3 linked regions of the Caenorhabditis elegans genome follow. The protein of the gene in region 1 purifies or fractionates together with the protein of each later gene. This does not show direct contact. Each region holds a gene or a part of one and is shown in the gene's direction. Other genes may lie near its edges. The genes, in order: rpoa-2, F43C11.8 and rpac-40.

Region 1 (8,099 bases):
AATGTCTTTTTCCGCAACTGAAAATATTTAATATTTAAAACTGGAAAATATGTATGTTCTCCTAGATACAAACCTTCATCTCTTCGCGAAGAATTGGCATATTATCTAATTCTTCCAGCTCTCGATCCGTTTCGGGGGTGAAAAGAACAGCACTCAAGTCATCTTTCAGACCACTAACTAGCGCCAAGAGCATGGCAACGATGTCATCAATTTGCTCCAATACAATGTCTTCGTCTGGGCGATTTGTGAACTGATAAATTAATTTTTCAAAATAATCAAGGCATAACGAATAGTACCGCATGAATCATCTTGCCAAGTCCGGCAATCAGAGCACCTGACTCGTACGCCAGTGTCATAAACGATTTCAGACAATCTAGCCTCGCTTTCCATTCATAATTTATCGTCAGGCACCTCACGAGTTTTCCTGAAATTAACAAGAAAGTTTGAGACAAATCGTTGATGTTACTGACCCATATCAAAGAAGGGATCCAATGGTTTAGAACTTGGCGCAATGTCAATGTCTAACAGCCAGCGACGACGAAAAGCTCCACTTCTCATATATGCTCCGATTGTTTGATTCCAGCAGGAAGATGTCATTACCATGCGACTTAGAAGATTGTCTGAATAATTAATTCTACAAGTTAAATATATTTTACCACATACATGGTGTTCTTGTCAATATGTGGATGACGGCATCATAAGGTAGTTTACCGAAACTTCCATACGACGTCTCCACCTCAATCGACAATCTTGTAGTAAGCTTTGAACATACTTCTGGAATTAAAAATGTATGTTGGAGAATACTTGTGATTTTTTTACTGTGCTCATCGAGATGAAATGCTCGTTGATGATTAATAGCATCTGGCGATGAAAAAGGTAATCCATGTGTTTGCTGTGTTCTTCGTCTTTTACGAGAACATCGTTCCTCTGTGGCTGAATCTGTAAATGTAAACTCTGATTGAATGCGTTGAAGTGAAGAAGTACTACTTCTTTTTCTTAGAGACACTGAAGCATTGCGATGATTTTCTAGACTTTGTCTGGAAACTGGACTGTTTTGTGTTGTTCGATCAGCACTCCGCAAATTGTAAGTCCGCCTGGGTGTTGATTTATCCATTTTGGATTCTGAAAATGGCTTGATATTATCAAGTAATAGACCAGAAAGAACTTGACATTAAAAATATTTCACATAAATGATCAAAAACTAAAAAAACAAGAAAAAACAAAAAAAAATGAGGCAAAATATAGGTCACTCGCATTTAGGCGGGAATTCGAATTGATTTGAAATTTGAACACACCCCCACTACAGTACCCATAAAAGTCGTGGCGAGACCCATATGACAAAAGCAATGCGCCTTTAATTCGTTCTTTGGCTTCGATCGATTTTTCGGTTCTTTTCGAACTTTTCTTCACTTTCCTCTTTTTTAATCGATTATTTTGAAGCACTTGTTCATTTAAATTTTATTCCTTATAAATTAAACTGCTGCAGAAACTCAAAATCGTTTCCTTAACTTCATGGCTGTTAAAATCCGCCGTTATTTTCTGAATAATACGTTCGTTTAGTGGGCCGATAACTTCCTGCGGTTTTCTCATCGATTTGTTTGATTAAATTTTATTTGCAAGTTCATAATAAATGTATTTATAACCAATATTTGCGTTTTCGCGATTTTTTCGTATAATATGTCCCAATACTTATTTTGAGTTTGTTTCATGAAAGTTTTCGTATTCCTTTATCATTGGAGAAATAATCAAGTTCAGGCTGTTATCGTCTAGTTTTCATCTAACTCTTCATTTTTCTTTTCCCTCTCTTTTCCCCTCGAATTGTGGCCGAACTGAACAGTGGCTGTCGCTCCTTCTCTTCCATTTCTAATTTTTACTGCTCGCCAACCCCTAAATCTTTTATTTAATAATCAAATACATTTGAATATGTAGTTTTCATTTTATTATAACATTTGTATTAGTTCGAAAAATTATTCATTTAAACTTTCAAGTTTTCAGGCGATGGACTGCGACATAGCGTCGTATCATGTCGATTCATTCGATTTTCTTGTTTCAAAAGGATGTCAATTTGCTGCCCAAGCTGTTCCTGCAGAAAAATTCCGTCTGAAAAACGGCGATGCTGTTACAATGAAGTTCACGTCGGCTCAACTTCATAAGCCAACGCTAGATACCGGAGTAAGTATTTGATCTGCAATCTTAAATATTGAAAATTCTAAAAATCAATTTTCAGGCGAAGCTCACCAGTGACACTCTTCCTTTACTTCCCGCGGAATGTCGACAACGTGGACTGACATATGCTGGAAATTTAAAAGTTGGAATCGATGTCCATGTGAACGGAAGCCGGTTGGACATTATTGAAATTATTTTGGGAAAGGTAATTCTATAAATACTGCGTTGAAAGTAAGAATTGGGTCACCTTCCTTCGAAAAAGTTAAAAGTTAAGAAATAAAATACTTGTTTCGAGGTTAAATTTTCATTTTCTGAATTCTCCAAGCAAATATTAGAAAAAGAAAATACTATACAACAAAATATTTAGGTACCAATTATGCTCCGATCCGAAGGTTGCCATCTCCGTGGAATGTCTCGAAAGGAACTTGTAGTTGCCGGTGAAGAGCCAATCGAAAAAGGAGGATATTTCATTGTAAATGGATCAGAAAAAGTGATTAGATTGCTGATCGCGAATCGAAGAAACTTTCCAATCGCAATTATCAGAAAAACATTCAAAGAGAAAGGAAAATTGTTCTCGGAATTTGGAGTTATGATGAGAAGTGTTAAGGAAAATCATACGGCTGTAATGATGACTCTTCATTATTTGGACACTGGAACTATGCAGTTAGCACTTCAATTCAGACGGGAAATCTTTTATGTACCGTTGATGTATATTGTGAAGGCTTTAACTGATAAGAATGATGCAGTGATTAGTGCTGGATTCAAAAGAGGAAGAAATCAAGATCAATTCTATTCATCTTGCATTCTCAATATGCTTGCTCAATGTCAAGAAGAAGAAATTTTGAATCAAGAAGCCGCCATTAGAGCCATCGGTTCTCGTTTCAGAGTAGCCGTATCTGATAGAGTTGCTCCATGGGAAGATGATCTTGAAGCTGGTCGATTCATCATTCGGGAATGTGTACTTATACATTTGGATAGTGATGAAGAGAAATTCCATACTCTTGCGTACATGACACAGAAACTCATTGCACTTGTGAAAGGAGAATGTGCTCCAGAGACACCTGATAATCCACAATTCCAAGAGGCCTCTGTTTCAGGACATATTCTTTTGTTGATTCTGAGAGAACGAATGGAGAATATCATTGGAATGGTTAGGAGAAAATTGGAGTACATGAGTTCAAGGAAGGACTTCATTTTGACATCGTAAGTTCATTTACCAAAAATGTCCTAGAACTACCGATTTTTTAAAAATTAAGCATTCTGAAAATTTCTCAAAGAAGAATAGGCTATAATCTCAAATTTTGCCAATTTGTTAAAGTTGCCAAAGTACATTTTTATTTGATTATCACTCTTTAATGCATAATTTGGTAATTTATTATGTATTGTTCCGTTGTTTCGGAAGCTTTCTAACTGTAAGTCGACAATTTTGTGCACCCTTAGACGCACCTAAATCTACGTAAATGTACCTAATTCAATGAAACGACGACCAACATATGTATTAAAATATTTATTTGGTAGTTTTGGGTCATAAAAAAGAGCAAAGTCTCAGATTTCGGAGCTCTAACTTTTAAATCTTCCGTTTGGCATAAACATTCTAACTTTCAGCGCCGCTATTCTAAAAGCACTTGGAAATCATACTGGTGGTGAAATCACTCGTGGAATGGCATATTTCCTTGCAACAGGAAATCTTGTGACTCGTGTCGGTCTTGCTCTTCAACAAGAATCTGGTTTCTCAGTTATCGCTGAAAGAATCAATCAACTTCGTTTCGTTTCTCACTTCCGTGCAATTCATCGTGGTGCATTCTTTATGGAAATGCGAACCACAGATGTTAGAAAATTGAGACCAGAAGCATGGGGATTTATTTGTCCTGTACACACTCCTGATGGAGCTCCATGTGGTTTATTGAATCACGTAACTGCATCATGTAGAATTGTCACTGATCTCTCTGATAATTCAAATGTTCCGTCGCTTCTTGCTGAATTGGGAATGTATACACACAAAACTGTTGCATTGGCACCGCCAGGTGAAGAGGTAAAACAATTTATTAAAGTATAAAGCATATTTTAAAAATTTCCTTATATGAAAATAACACTTATTTCAGTTGAAATATTTGAAAAGGGCTCAGAAATAGCCTGGAAGTTGCAAATTGCAGAAAAACGAAGCTCGATAATTGGCAATCTGCAATTTCCAGGCAATTTTTAAGCTTTAAATGAAATAACCTTTAATAACTCTATTTTCAAATTTAAATCATAATTTACAGCTTTATCCAGTTCTAATGAATGGAAGATTCCTTGGATATGTTCCAATTACTAAAGCTGCTTCAATTGAGAGATATCTACGATGTGCAAAAGTTGCGAAAGATGCAAGAATTCCTTATACTTCGGAGGTACTGTTTTTCTAAACTATTTTGAAGAATGAATTATATTTTCTTTTTTTTTCAGATTGCACTTGTTCGTCGATCCACGGATATCAAGAATATTCAAACTCAATATCCAGGAATCTACATTCTCAGTGACGCTGGACGTCTCATTCGTCCAGTACGTAATCTAGCAATGGATGCTGTTGAACATATCGGAACTTTTGAACAAGTTTATCTCTCAGTTGTACTTGATCCAGAAGAGGCTGAACCAGGAGTCACTATGCATCAAGAATTGCATCCTTCTTGCTTATTTTCATTTGCTGGAAATTTAATTCCTTTCCCAGATCATAATCAGTCACCACGGTAAGTTTTCGTTAGAGTTTCCAGTTGTAGTAGTGGAGATTTAGTCTAAAAATATGACTTCAAAAAATTAGATTATTTTTAAATTTGCAAAATTTCTAAAAATTGGGACTTTTGAATCTTGATAGGTGAAAATTGAGTTTTCATCACTTTTTGACTTTAAATAAAAATAATTAAACGTTTTTCCAGTAATGTGTACCAATGTCAAATGGGTAAACAAACGATGGGAACCGCCGTACATGCATGGCATTCACGTGCTGACAACAAAATGTATCGTCTACAATTTCCACAACAACCAATGCTAAAACTGGAGGCTTATGAGAAATACGAAATGGATGAATATCCATTGGGTACAAATGCTTGTGTTGCTGTGATCTCCTATACAGGATATGATATGGAAGATGCTATGACAATCAATAAAGCATCATATCAAAGAGGTTTTGCACATGGAACAGTTATCAAAGTGGAGAGAATTAATTTGGTGACCGAGAGAGAACGAAAAACGATTTTCTATAGAAATCCCCGAGAAGAAATCAAAACCGTTGGACCAGATGGTTTGCCGATTCCAGGAAGACGATATTTCCTCGATGAAGTGTATTATGTCACATTCAATATGGAAACTGGAGATTTCAGAACTCATAAATTCCATTACGCTGAACCGGCATATTGTGGTTTGGTGAGAATTGTTGAACAAGGAGAAGGCGATTCTGGTGCAAAACATGCTTTGATTCAATGGAGAATTGAGAGAAATCCAATTATCGGTGATAAATTCGCTTCGAGACACGGACAAAAAGGAATTAATTCATTCCTATGGCCTGTTGAATCACTTCCATTCTCAGAAACCGGTATGGTACCTGATATTATTTTCAATCCTCACGGTTTCCCATCTCGGATGACAATCGGTATGATGATTGAGAGTATGGCTGGAAAAGCGGCAGCTACGCACGGAGAGAATTATGATGCATCGCCATTTGTTTTCAAGTAAGTTATTCACTGTTTGAAAATTTGAAAATAATTCTAAATCTCTAAAATTATTTTTCAAAATTAATTTTAAAAAATGGGCCGACTAATTTTTGAATTCCCGTGCAAATAAATATCAAATTGAAACACGGCTTGTCAATTTTTCTGACTTTTCCGTTAAAATAAATAATACATTCTTGTGGAAGTATCGATTTTTGGGCCAACTGTTTTTCAGATTCGACGAAGTTTTCTTTACGGAGAATGTCCTGAAAAATAGACTAACAGTGTTTAAAATTATATATTAAAAATAAAAACTGATCAATTTAACCAGTACCTTCAGTTTCGCGGAAATTCGAAAATAATTATTTTTTTGCAAAATAGAAAAATTTAAAAAAATTAGAAAAGTTTTTAACAGTTACAGTTACGTTTTTTCGATTCTTTTTCCATTTAACAATGTTTTGATTTTTCAGTGAAGACAACACAGCAATCAACCATTTTGGAGAATTACTCACAAAAGCAGGTTATAATTACTACGGTAACGAAACATTTTATTCGGGAGTTGATGGACGTCAAATGGAGGTTTATATTAGAATTTATCGTTTGAAAAATTAACATTTTTCATAATTACAGATGCAAATCTTCTTTGGAATTGTTTATTATCAAAGACTTCGTCATATGATTGCTGATAAATTCCAAGTGAGAGCCACTGGACCAATTGATCCAATTACTCATCAACCAGTAAAAGGAAGAAAAAAGGGAGGAGGTATTCGATTTGGAGAAATGGAAAGAGATGCTATTATTGCACATGGAACATCTTTCGTGTTGCAGGTACTTTTATTTCTATGTTTAAAAATAACACCGAAAATTTTTTAGATTTTTCTGTTTTTTTCAGGGAAAAAAACTGAAAAATCGGAAAAAAATGTTCAGAAAACTAAAAAAAAAGTTAATCTTAAAAGAAGAAAATTGGTCAAAGTTTACATCTGTTTTTTTTTTGAAAAATCGAAGTTTTGAACAAAATTGGAAAACTAGTAGTTTTCGATTTTTCAATACTCAAAAAAATCGAAAAAGCGACAACACTAACTTCATTGTACTGATATTTTAATTTCCAGGACCGTCTTCTCAACTGTTCGGATCGTGACGTAGCATACGCTTGTCGTCGTTGTGGATCCCTATTGTCCGTGTTGATGTCCAGTCGTGCAGGATCACATTTATTGAAAAAGAAAAGGAAAGACGACGAACCATTGGACTACACGGAAACTCAACGATGTCGTACGTGTGATAAAGATGATCAAGTTTTCCTGCTTCAAGTTCCTCGTGTCTTCCGTTATTTGACTGCCGAGTTAGCTGCAATGAATGTGAAAATCAAGTTGGGCATCGAACATCCATCCAAAGTAACTGGAAGTTAATTTCATTATTTTTTCAACATTTCCTTCATAATAGAAATACTGAAAACTTCATGCAGTTCTCTAAACTTTGATTTTTAAAAAATTTCTTTTACACTACACTTTAATATTCTCCGTCCCCTATCCTACAACAATCTCACGGTTTTTGTCTATTTTTTGTTATTTTCTCTTTGCAAGTTGTTTTATTGTTGAACCTTTTCTGAAATTTTTGATTTTTAGCCGATTTTAGCAATTTTTGTTACTTTTTTGTTTACCCTCATCCAATTTATTCTGTTTCTATTGTTCACTTTTTGTTTTGTTTTTTGTTTGAGTTTTTGTTCCTCAATATTCCATAAAGTTGTTGTTATACATTTTATATGTTTAAGTAAATCACATTAAGCACTCTGCAACCTTCCCCTCTCTCCACACACTTCTTTGATTTTTTTTGCTAAATTTCCGTTTTTCCGCGCACTGCCTCTTTTTCCACTCTCTCTTTGCTCTTGCTCTGTGCTCTTTCTGCTCCAATAAGCCCCTGGCGGCCATGTTCCCATTTTCCCCGCGCTCCCCCATACCTCTGTGCCTTTCTTTTTCATTTTTTTTTCGTGGGTGAAAACTTCCTAGGTTATGACGTGGCATGTTCAAGGAGCATCGAGAGCTTTTTTTCTGTTTTTATTTTGCGGCAGAAACGTGGAACGGCACGTTTTTGATGTGTAAAAATCATGTCAGCATTTTTTTGAGAACAAAACGGCGATGGAAAAGCGAAAAACGTGTAATTCGAGACGAGAAGCCATAAACCTCTTTTTTGCAGGCTGTTGCCACGGAGAAAGACAAAAATCAGCAGTTTTTTAAACTTTGAAACAACTTAATTTTT
Region 2 (4,232 bases), on another chromosome or scaffold:
CTTCTGGAAAATTCGAGAAAATTCTGTAATGCTCTAGATCATTCTGGAAAATTTTAGAAAATTTTGGAATGTTCTAGAACCTTCTAGCAATTTTCAAAAAAACTCTAGAATGATCTAGAACCTTCTGGGAAATTTAAGAAAAATTCTGGAATCTTCGAGAACCTTCCTTAATTCTCCTTCCAGGACCCCAACTGCTCCTCCGACGAAAAGCTAATGTGCCGAACTTGCGAGGAGTTTGGAGTTCACGCCGGACACTCGAAGGGCCTCCTACAGACGGAAGCTTTGAAATTGAGAACGTTGCTCAAAGATAAGCTTTTAAAGTCCGAAGATCAGATTGTTCAAATTGACAAGAACATTGAAGAGGTTGACAGGTTAGTTTAAAAAGCGGTAGATCACAATTTTAGCTCGCTGAAATTTCAGCGCCCAGCAAACAAATCAAGTAGATGGGAAGGTGTTTCAAGATAAAAAAGATTTGGTTAGTGATTTTTTTTTGAAACGGGGACGAAATACAATTCCAGAACATTTTCAGATATCCGTCTACTATACCTCAATACGAGAGACCTTAGATGCCCAGGAAGCCCTTGCAAATCAAAAACTACGCGAAATTGCAGAATCCAATTCAGCTAGCAATAAATTACTACTAGAAGAATTGTCGGAATCCCTGGAAACCCAGAAATTGAAAAACGAGAAATTAAAGTCGTTTCTGGGAATGAGCAACGCGGATTTGTTAGCTCTAAATTCAGAAATTCAGCTCTGGGATGACTCGGAAAATACAGAAGTTGAGCCTATTCAGTTTGATGTAGCATTAAATTTTCCAGAAGTGAACAGGTTAGCTGTGGGTAAGTGGATTTGGAAGGAAGTTGGTAGATCAATGTCAGGAAGTTTTGTAGATGTGGCAAATGCTTCAATGTCAAGCTCTCTGGAGCCAGATGTAGGTTTTAATGATAATTTAGCATTTGTATTATAGGTACATGAATTTCAGAATATAACCCTGTGGCTTTGAATGTTCCAAACAAGGCAGTTTTTTGGTTTTAAAGTTTTCAATCATTTTTTACTTTGTACAAATACCGATAAACAACCGAAAATTCAACTCTCCAATCCTGATTTTTTTGGCCCTTTTCGGGCAATATAAATTTTTGAAATGTCTAATTTTTTGGTATTTTATTTTTCTGAGTTCTCATATTTTCTAGGATTTATTTTTTATCTCTTTTTTCTCCGCCTAGCCTACATTTAAGCTTAAGTCTAAGCCTAAGCTTCATCCTAAGCCAAAGGCTAAGCCTAAATCAAAGCCTAAGCATAAGCCTAAGCCTAAGTCTCGAAAACTTGAAAATCGGAAAACAAAAATTTACGTTTTTTCGATTTTCCGGAAAATCCAAAAATCGAAAAAAAAAATGATCTAAAAATTAATCATAAAATACGATTTTTATCTAATTTTTTTTCTATTGATAAGAGAAAAAAATTTCGAAAAATCAAAAAAAAAAACGAAAATTTTCGATTTTTCGATTTTTCTAAAATAAGCCCGCTCCCGTACAAACAGTGCTATAGGTGCTCGGCAGGTTTCAGGCAGGCGCCAGGCTCTGAAAACGTTTTATTTTACGAAAAACTATTACGAAATCCGTAGTAACTGACCACATAGAATTAGCAATAGTGTTGAAAATGGTGTATCTAAACTGATATGAGTCAGCAAAAAATATTTACCGGTTTCCGTGTATTCTTGGTCACCAAATTGTTATCGTCTTATCGCAGTGTCAGCGGGAGAACTCCCAAGACCATTCGTTTATTTTTCCAACCCTCCGTACAGTTCCGAAATGTCATTTATTGAGTGTGAAATTTGCAACGAAGATTTCTCAAGTGCCACCGATGAAAATATTCCTAGGATTTTGAGTAAGCTTTTGCTACCTTTCCTAAAATTAAAAAATAAAAATTCAGGATGTGGCCACACAATTTGCCATGGTTGTGCAGAAAAATTGCTCCAAAACTCTATGATTTTATGTCCATTCTGCCGGGAAGCAACTAATGTCAGTACAGTGAAGGATTTGCAGAAGAATTTTGCATTGTTACAGGCAGTTGAACACGCTAAGACTAGAACTGAAGAGGTTTTTTTTTCTAGAAATAAAGTTATACATATAAATATATATATATATATATATACATATATATATTTATATATACATATATATATTTATATACAAATATAAAATTTTTCAGAAAGATCCCATTGATTCACCGCCAAAATGCGCTTCTCACCAGTACAATTTTGCGGAATTTGTGTGCATTGTGAGTTCTTTATAGGTTTTGATAGGCCCCAAAATGTCAACTGTAAAAAATTTTTTAAAAAACTTACTATTAGCAGCCGACAACTCGCCGGTTTCTGAGAGTGCGAGGTTAATAGCCAAAAAATAATGGTACGTGGGAGCCTAGTTCAGGCCAAAGTCTTGGCCTAGATTTTGCTCAACTTTTGTGGTCAAGCTCGGCATTTGGCTATAAATTCTTGGCCAAGTTTTGCCCAAAAAATATTAGCTTGGATCAGAAGTTTGCTAAACTTGGGCAAAACTTTGGCAAAACTCGGATTCAGGCTGCACCAAAGGTTTGGCCCAAACTTCTCTTATTTCGTTTCAAACTTATGTAGAAGTTTGGCAGAGTTGGTTGAACCTTTTTTTAAACTTTGGTGGAGTTTGAATCCAAGTTTTGCCCAACTTTTGCTCAACGTCTGAAACAAGTTATTATTTTTTGCGCCAAACTTGGGCCAGAAGCTAGAGCCAAATGCACCTCTTCTTGCCTGAGAAACTAGCATTCTTTCCAGGAGCCCACCTGCTCATCTAGCGATAAGCTCATGTGCCGTACCTGCGAAGAGTTTGGAGCTCACGCCGGACACAATCGAGGCCTACTACAATCAGAAGCGGCAAAGTTGAGACAGTTTCTGAGCGGGAAGCTTTCAAGATCCGAAGACCTGGCAAGTAAAATTGATGCGAATATCGAAAAGATCGGAACAGCTCAGCTAACAAATCTCGACGATGGGGAGGTATTTCAAGAGAAAAAGGTTTCGATAATAGCCTTCTACGCTTCAATACGAGAAACCTTGGATGCTCTCGAAAACGATGCTCTTGCGACGCTTCAGAACATCGCGGAAACTAACTTTTTCACGAACGACCTGCTCATCGCAGAGCTATCGGAATCCTTGAACCGGCAAAAGCGAAAAAGTGCGGAGCTGAAGCTGTTTATGAAAATGAGCAATGCAGATTTGCTCGCGGTGAATTCTGCGCTGGAAGTGAGCAGCGAGAATGAGCTCTGGACTGAATTTGCTGATGTTGAGCCTGAAGTTTTTGACGCAGCACTGATTTTTCCAGAGATGGATAGGCTTGTCATACGTAGGTCTTTGAAAAAATATTGATTGGAAAAATTGGATTTTTCAGAAGTCACGAAAGTTTCTAGAATTGACAACAATTTGTCTCGCGAGTTTGAAGAATTTTGCAGGGCTAGGAGGTAAGCTAACGAGAGAAATATGAATTTTTATATAAAAGTTTTTTTTTTCAGACAACCTGCTAGCTGCTCTGATTGATGCCAACGACGGTTTTATAGGATATTTAATTGAAAATGTTTGTACATAAATAAAAATGTGATTGATGATTTTGTTGCGCTTCAAAAGCGAACAGACATGGGCCAATCTTTTTCAGAGTTTTTTTTCTACAAATTCGGCAAATCGGCAAATTTGCCGGTTTGCTGATTTGCCGGAAATTTTCAAATGCGGCAATTTGCTGGAGATTTTCAATTTTGGCAATTTGCCGATTGCCGGAAATTTTTAATTTCAGCAATTTGCCGGTTTGTCGATTTGCCGAAAATTATCAATTTCGGCATTTTGCTGGTTTGCCAATTCATCGGTATTTTTTAATTCCGGCAATTTTCCGGTTTGCCGATTTGAAGACATTTTCAACTGCGTCAATTTGCCGGAAATTTTCAATTTTGGCAATTTCAAAATAGATATAAGAAGATTCATAGGATGCGTACAATTTTACCGATTAAAATTGAAATTCTGAAACTTCCAAAAAAATGTGCAAGACCACAATTTGGCAAAAAATGTTCCACAGTTGCCGTTTTTCCGGCAAATTCGGCAAACTGGTAAGTTAGTTTTAAATTCCGGCAATTTGCCGATTTGCCGATTTGCCGGAAATTTTCAAGTGCAGCAATTTGCCGATTTGCCTATTTGCCAAAAGTTTTCAATTCCGGCAATATGC
Region 3 (6,819 bases), on another chromosome or scaffold:
AGATTTTAGCTTATTTTTAGCTAAAAATCTCCAATTTTGGCCTACTTTTTGGGGTCGTAGTGGTCGGAAATCGACTATTATATATATATATATATGTTCGAATTTTTTTTTCTTTTTGGGAGAAAATGTTTAAAAAATTGGCAGACTTTTTTGTCGACAAATTCGGCAAGTCGGCAAGTTGCCGGTTTGCCGATTTGCCGGAAATTTTAAATTCTCGAAAATTGCCGGATTCCAATTTGCCGCAAGTTTTTACAGGGATTTTTCTTAACCTCTGAAATTTCCAAAAATGTGCAAAACCACAATTTGCCGAAAATTTTCGGCAATTGCCGTGTTTCAGGCGAATTCGTCAAATCGACAATTTGTCGGTTTGCCATTTTTCCTGAAATTTTAAATTCAGCAAAATTGCCGATTTGCCGGAAATTTCAATTCCGGCAATTTGCCGATTTGCCGGAAATTTTCAATTCCGGAAGTTTGCCGATTTGCCGGAAATTTTCAATTCCGGCAATTTGCCGATTTGCCAGAAATTTTCAATTCCGGCAATTTGCTGATTTGCCGGAAATTTTCAATTCCGGAAGTTTGCCGATTTGCCGGAAATTTTCAATTCCGGAAATTTGCCGATTTGTCGATTTGCCGGAAATTTTCAATAACGGCAATTTGTCAATTTACCGGATATTTCAATTCCGGCAAATTGCTGATTTTCCTGAAATTTTCAATTCCGGCAAATTGCCGATTTGCCGAAAATTTTCAATTCCTGATTTAAGATTTTAGCTAAAATTCGTCAAATTAAAGTAAAAAAAACCAAAAAAAAAAAACGTTTTTTTTTCAGATTTTCCCAGTACTTCACATTGAGCGCTGGGCTTTTGACGTTGAGCTCATCTTCCTTTGCGAAAGATGGACGGTCCCTGTGAAAGAAGTTTCAGTTCGATGGACTGAAATCGAAGGGTCTAAGATTACTCCAATTTGGTCTTGGCTTCAAATGGGCCGAGATCTTGTGCTCATTTGGTTCAGATATACGGTAAAATTGCAGTTTTTTAGGCCTTTTTTGAAGTGGTGTCAGGATGTCCCATCGCTCTACTGCACACGAAAATGGCGGGAAAATATTTTTTTTTTAATTTGTGACGTCACAGCGTATCTTGAATAATTTTCTTAATTTTAAGCGCCGATTTTTGTCAAACTTAAAAAAAAAATAAATAAATAATATCTTTCTCATTTTAATTTATAAAATTTGATATTTTACCAAAATTCTTAAAATTTAGTGGAAAAATTGAAGCAAAATACACAATAAAAATGAATAATTTCAATTGAAACGAATTTTTTTTTTCGAAAAACCATTTAAACCGTTCATTTACCAAGTTTCCGTGAATTTTTTAAAAATGATTTTCCAAATAAATTTTTGTTTAAATTGAAATTATTCATTTTTATTGTATTTTGCTTCAATTTCTCCACTAAATTTTAGAATTTTTGTAAAATATCAAATTTTATAAATTAAAATGAGCCAGTTTTTAAAAAAATTTCACGAAAATCGGCGCTTAAATTGAACAAAAGCAATTATTCAAAATGCGCTGTGTGACGTCACAAATTTTCAAAAAATATTTTCCCGCCATTTTCGTGTGCGGTAGAGCGACCTGACAATATTTTTGACATTAAAATTTTATTTTCAGATCGGAATTTGGACGGATGACCAGCCTCGCTAAATGCTCCACAAAAAATCGATACGAGATTTTCAAAAAATCTTGCCCAAAAATTTCCTTTTTCTTCTAGTAATATCTATGCTTTAATCACTTTTTTTCCCTGCTTTTTCCTGATTTTTTTTCCAATTTATGGCTGGTTGTAAATATCCATGATTCCTTGAAAATGTGATTCTATTCTTTTTTCTTTTCGCATTTTTATTATTTATTTATTTACTTGTTGGTTTTTCTTTTTTTTCTCTCTTGTTCTGGGGACTCTGGGTTTATTTTTAATGCTAAATTCAAAAAAATATCGATTTAAATGTTTTTTTCCATTTTTTTGTTTTTTTTTTCGTTTTCCCAGCGATTTTATATCTTTCCATAGAGTTTTCAGGCGAAAAAAATCAAAAAATTTCCAGGCAAAAATGGTCAAAAAAGCGGCGGCAACTAGCAAGCAGGCTACCTATCACAGTGATGAGATCGAGATGAAAGAGGAAGTTGTGCTCAATGTAGGATTTTTTGAATATTTCAAGGATGCAATCGCGCTCCATTGGGAAACGAGAGCGCTCCGCCCCCAAACGTTGGGTCTCGTTAGGAAATCAGGCGGCAAAAGCATTTTCCGTATTTTTTTAAAATTTCGTCCAGAAAAATTTTAAAAAATTCCAATTTTTTATTGAAAATCGTTATTTTTCCGAAAAAAATTGTTATACAAATTTACGAAAAAAGGCGGCGATTTATCAACTGCCGGAAATTAGTGAAAGATTACTTTTTTTCAAAAAAAATTGAAAAAATTTAAAATTGTGAGATAAACCAAGAAAAAATTAACTTTCGATTTTTTCAACTTTTTGGAAAAAAAAAACACAAACCAAAGAAAAAATGAACAAAAAAAAAGCGGATTGCGTGTATTTTTCACCACGCGTAACGTCGTTGTCGCGATGTCCTCCGGACCGAAGAGCAAGAAGCTAAAAACGCCCACGCTTGAACAGCAAATCGAAGATGGAGTCAATGCTTATATTCACTCGCAGCAGTTTGAGTTCAACTCTCCACCACGGGAAAATTTTTTTGCCAATTTTTTCGTCTCAAAAAAAAAAGGAAAAAAAAACCAAAAAACCGACATTTCTGGTCAATATTTTTTTTTGTTTTTTTTTTTTGAAGAAATTCGATTTTTTGCTTTTCGGCCGAAATTTTTATTTTTTTAAATTTTCCAAAAATTCTTCTTCAATTCCAGACCTACGACGAATGCACCGATTATGTCGAATACGACGATACAAAACAATTCGATATCAACGAGTATTGCGATCAAATCCAAGTGGCAATGGTCAATGAATCCGACGATGGAATGACATTGGAATTTGATATTACTCGCATTGAAGCTCCAATTGCAAATGCTCTTCGCCGTGTGCTCATCGCCGAAGTGCCAACGATGGCTCTCGAGAAGATTTATCTCTATCAGAATACTTCTGTAATTCAAGATGAAGTACTCTGCCATCGTTTGGGTCTTCTGCCGCTTCGTGTGGATCCACGTGGATTTCAGTTTCCAAAGGAAAAAGTCGTTGGAATCAATGAGAAGGGAGTGGATTGTGACGAGGAGCCCGAGGGAGATCCCGCGAAAAATTTGATCTTCAAGATTAATGTTTCGTGTACGAAGAATCGAAATGCGGTGCCGACGGCTACCGATCCGAAGCAGCTTTATCACAATAGCTCGGTCTACTCACGTGCTTTTGAATGGGTACCGATTGCTGATCAGAAGACGCAATTCACCGAAGAAGCCCATCCACGTATGGTTTCTGATGATATTCTCGTTGCCAAGCTTCGTCCTGGACAGGAAATTGAAGCCAGTTGCCATGCGGTCAAGGGAATCGGACGGGATCATGCAAAGTTCTCACCGGTTGCTACTGCGTCCTATAGGTGTGAATTTTGAAGCTGCTGAAATATTTTCTTTTGATTTTTGCGGTTTTCCGGAAAATTGAAAATTTTTCGTTTTTCGATTTTCTCGGAAAAAGTGAAAAATTGGGGGGAAAAAAATTATAATTCATATAATATATTTTCGGTTTTACGGGACCCCAAATTCTGAGAATGCGTATTACACAAAATTTTTGACGCGCAAAATATCTCGTAGCGAAAACTACAGTAATTCTTTAAATGACTACTGTAGCTTTTAAAGAGTTACTGTAGTTTTCGCTACGAGATATTTTGGGGAAGTTAAATAATTTTTGTACATCTACCTATATTCAGTATATTTAGACTGTTTTCTGTAATTTTGTGGAAAAAAAAGTTCGAAAATTTCAAGCCAGAGGTGAATTTTTTTGTCGACAAATTTGACAAATTGCCAATTTTTTTTTATTTTCGGCAATTTTCATTTTCGGCGATTTGCCGGAAATTTTCATTTTCGGCGATTTGCTGGAAATTTTCATTTTCAGCAATTTGCCGATTTGTCGATTTGCCGGAAATTTTCATTTTCGGCGATTTGCTGGAAATTTTCATTTTCAGCAATTTGCCGATTTGTCGATTTGCCGGAAATTTTCATTTTCGGCGATTTGCTGGAAATTTTCATTTTCAGCAATTTGCCGATTTGTCGATTTGCCGGAAATTTTCTTTTTCGGCAATTTGCCAGTTTGACGATTTGCCGGAAACTTCGATTTCGGTTAATTGCCGGTTTACCGATTTGCCGGAATTTTCATTTTCTGCAATTTGCCGGTTTACCGATTTGCCGGAATTTTCATTTTTGACAAATTGACGATTTGCCGGTTTGCCGGAAATTTTCATAGAATTTGCCTACTTTTCAAAATACATGTAGGAACATTTATAGGATGCGTACAATTTAGCCGATTGAAATTGAAAATCTGAAATTTCCAAAAAAAATGTGCAAAAACACAATTTGCCGGTTTGCCGGTTTGCCAATTTGACCTTCAAATTCTTCCAATTTTTCAAAAAATTTCTTTTCATTCCAGACTGCTTCCAACGATCCGCTTGAACGCCGAAATTTCGGGTGAAGCTGCCGAACGTCTCAAATCAGTATTCAGCGAGGGAGTTATTGCTATCGAGAAGAAAGGAGGTAGATCATAAATCAATTTTTAGGAAACACACCAATTTTTTTAAAATTTCAGCCAAACGAATTGCTGTTGTCAAGGATGCTCGCAAGGATACGTGCAGTCGTAACGTGTTCCGCCACGAAGATCTGTCGAAAGTTGTTCAATTGGGAAAGAACAAACAGCATTTCATTTGTTAGTGGCAGGGCTGAATTCGAAAAAAAAAACTGAAATTCATGAATTTTTCGCATTTTTTTGGTTTTTTTTCCAAAAAAAAATACACGAAAAGTTGTCGAAAAACAAACCCCAATTTTGTTAAAGTTTGAAACCTTATTTTGAAAATTTTAAATATTTTTGCCAAATTTTAACTCTTTTTTTTAATTTTGAGAGTGGTTTTTTTGGAAAATGTATAAGTAATTTTTTTTGGAGCCGGAGTTTTTATATATTTTTTTTCGCTTTTTTTTTCGAAAAAAAAAGAATTTTCGCCAGAAACATGGTACAGACGTGCCGTTTTTCGATTTTTTTTTTGAAAAAATTTTTAAAACGAAAAGTTGAAAAATTGGAAATTGGGAAAAGAAAATTTTTGAGTTTTCGAACTTAAAAAAAACGAAAAAATTTTTAAAAAAAATGTTCAGAAAATTAAAATTGAGCAGAAACTGGGGAAAATTCGAAAAATTCTGAAAAATTCACAAAAAAAACCCATTTTTTCGAACTTTTTTCCGATAAAATTACAAAAATCCTAAATTTTCTACTTTTCAAGGGCCCGAATTTTTGTGGAAAATTAGTAAAAATCGGTTAAAATTAACCATTAAATATGATTTTTTCTAATGGGGTTATTCAAGTAATGTAGCAATTTTTTTTTTTTTTCGCAAAAATTTTTTTACACTTTTTAATTTTCCGACACTACTTGAATAACCCCATAAATCAATTTTATCGAAACTGATGAGAAAAAAAAATTTAACGAAAAAAAAACACAAAATTTCGTCGTCAGAAATTTTTCGATTTTTCCCAAGTTTTCTAATTTTTTTGGTTGAGAAAGTCGATTTTTTTTAAATATAAAAAAAAAACCGAAAAAAACGTAGGAAAAAAGAGGGAAAAACTATAAACTTATTTAAAAATAAATTATATTTCAATGAGAAAAATGAAAATTTCTTCAAAAATACAAAAAAAAACCAAAAAACCATTTAAAAAAATTGCCAAAATTTCAAATTTCTTTTTTTTTAAACTGAAAAAAAAACACACAAAAAATTTTTCACAATTTTTACCGGCAAATTCGGCAAATTGGCAATTTGCCGGTTTGCCGATTTGCCGGAAATTTTGAATTCCGGCAATTTTAGTTTTTTTTTCAGTCAGTGTAGAGTCGACTGGAGCTCTGAAATCGTCTGAATTGGTGGTTGAAGCCTGTAAAGTCATGGAAATCAAGTGTCGTTCTCTTCGCAAACAAATCGAGGCTCTTATTCAATAATCCCCGTTTTTTTGAAATTTTGTTACTATTTTTTTATTCGTTATCCTTTTTTTTTGTTGTTGTTTGACTACCCCTCAAGTTGTTACACTGTTCCGTCACTTTCTTTTTTCTTAATTTGAATGAATTTTCGTGGCTTTTTTACCTTCAAATATCTCCTAGTTGGCCAAATGGTTGAAATTTCCATTTTTTATTTGTTTTTTTTGTAGTTTTTTAACAGGTTCATAGAAAAATCATTCATTTTTTCGGTTTTTTCAGAAAAAAATTATTAAAAAATGGAAAAACTCCAAAATTTTGAGCTATTTTCTCAAAATATTGGAAAACGAATTCTTTTCGATTTTCAGAAAAATTAGAAACAAAACTTTAAAAATCATCAATTTTTGTCTATCCTGATGAAAAAATATAATTTTCTTCAAAAAATTAAAAAAAAAAACCAAAATTTGAATAAAAAATTGTAAAACTAACATTTTCGGTTTTCCGGAAAATCGAAAAAGCGAAAAATCTTTTCTTTGCAGAAAAAAAGAAAAATCAATTTTGTTCTAAAAAATATCCTTTTTCGAAATACTGGAAAAACGGGGCAGTTTTCGAATTTTTTTCAGAAAATTGAAAAAAAAACGATTGTTTTTAGAAAACTAGCAAAAATTCAATATTTTGTCGAATT

The links.
Region 2: the proteins of rpoa-2 (region 1) and F43C11.8 fractionate together in Caenorhabditis elegans (co-fractionation; one large-scale study listed by BioGRID). This does not show direct contact.
Region 3: the proteins of rpoa-2 (region 1) and rpac-40 fractionate together in Caenorhabditis elegans (co-fractionation; one large-scale study listed by BioGRID). This does not show direct contact.

What each region holds. Positions count from the first base shown.
Region 1 is NC_003279.8:9,280,462-9,288,560, reverse strand, and holds rpoa-2 (DNA-directed RNA polymerase I subunit RPA2 homolog), read left to right. Parts: upstream 1-1,984; 5' UTR 1,985-1,998; coding exon 1,999-2,172; intron 2,173-2,227; coding exon 2,228-2,371; intron 2,372-2,533; coding exon 2,534-3,369; intron 3,370-3,771; coding exon 3,772-4,198; intron 4,199-4,427; coding exon 4,428-4,553; intron 4,554-4,608; coding exon 4,609-4,889; intron 4,890-5,075; coding exon 5,076-5,867; intron 5,868-6,316; coding exon 6,317-6,425; intron 6,426-6,476; coding exon 6,477-6,674; intron 6,675-6,955; coding exon 6,956-7,252; 3' UTR 7,253-7,638; downstream 7,639-8,099. Other genes in the region: prom-1 (FBXO47 ARM repeats region domain-containing protein), read right to left, coding at 1-17, 74-250, 297-424, 471-620, 664-774, 820-939, 988-1,114. UniProt on the Caenorhabditis elegans protein: DNA-dependent RNA polymerase catalyzes the transcription of DNA into RNA using the four ribonucleoside triphosphates as substrates. Second largest core component of RNA polymerase I which synthesizes ribosomal RNA precursors.
Region 2 is NC_003280.10:2,330,712-2,334,943, forward strand, and holds F43C11.8 (RING-type domain-containing protein), read left to right. Parts: upstream 1-1,808; coding exon 1,809-1,884; intron 1,885-1,929; coding exon 1,930-2,096; intron 2,097-2,208; coding exon 2,209-2,277; intron 2,278-2,803; coding exon 2,804-3,368; intron 3,369-3,413; coding exon 3,414-3,483; intron 3,484-3,534; coding exon 3,535-3,559; 3' UTR 3,560-3,627; downstream 3,628-4,232. Other genes in the region: ZK1240.1 (RING-type domain-containing protein), read left to right, coding at 184-371, 421-475, 530-839, 891-931, 983-1,003.
Region 3 is NC_003283.11:4,197,399-4,204,217, forward strand, and holds rpac-40 (DNA-directed RNA polymerases I and III subunit RPAC1), read left to right. Parts: upstream 1-2,086; 5' UTR 2,087-2,092; coding exon 2,093-2,176; intron 2,177-2,895; coding exon 2,896-3,575; intron 3,576-4,618; coding exon 4,619-4,722; intron 4,723-4,774; coding exon 4,775-4,891; intron 4,892-6,045; coding exon 6,046-6,161; 3' UTR 6,162-6,298; downstream 6,299-6,819. Other genes in the region: algn-5 (dolichyl-phosphate beta-glucosyltransferase), read left to right, coding at 827-1,015, 1,662-1,694.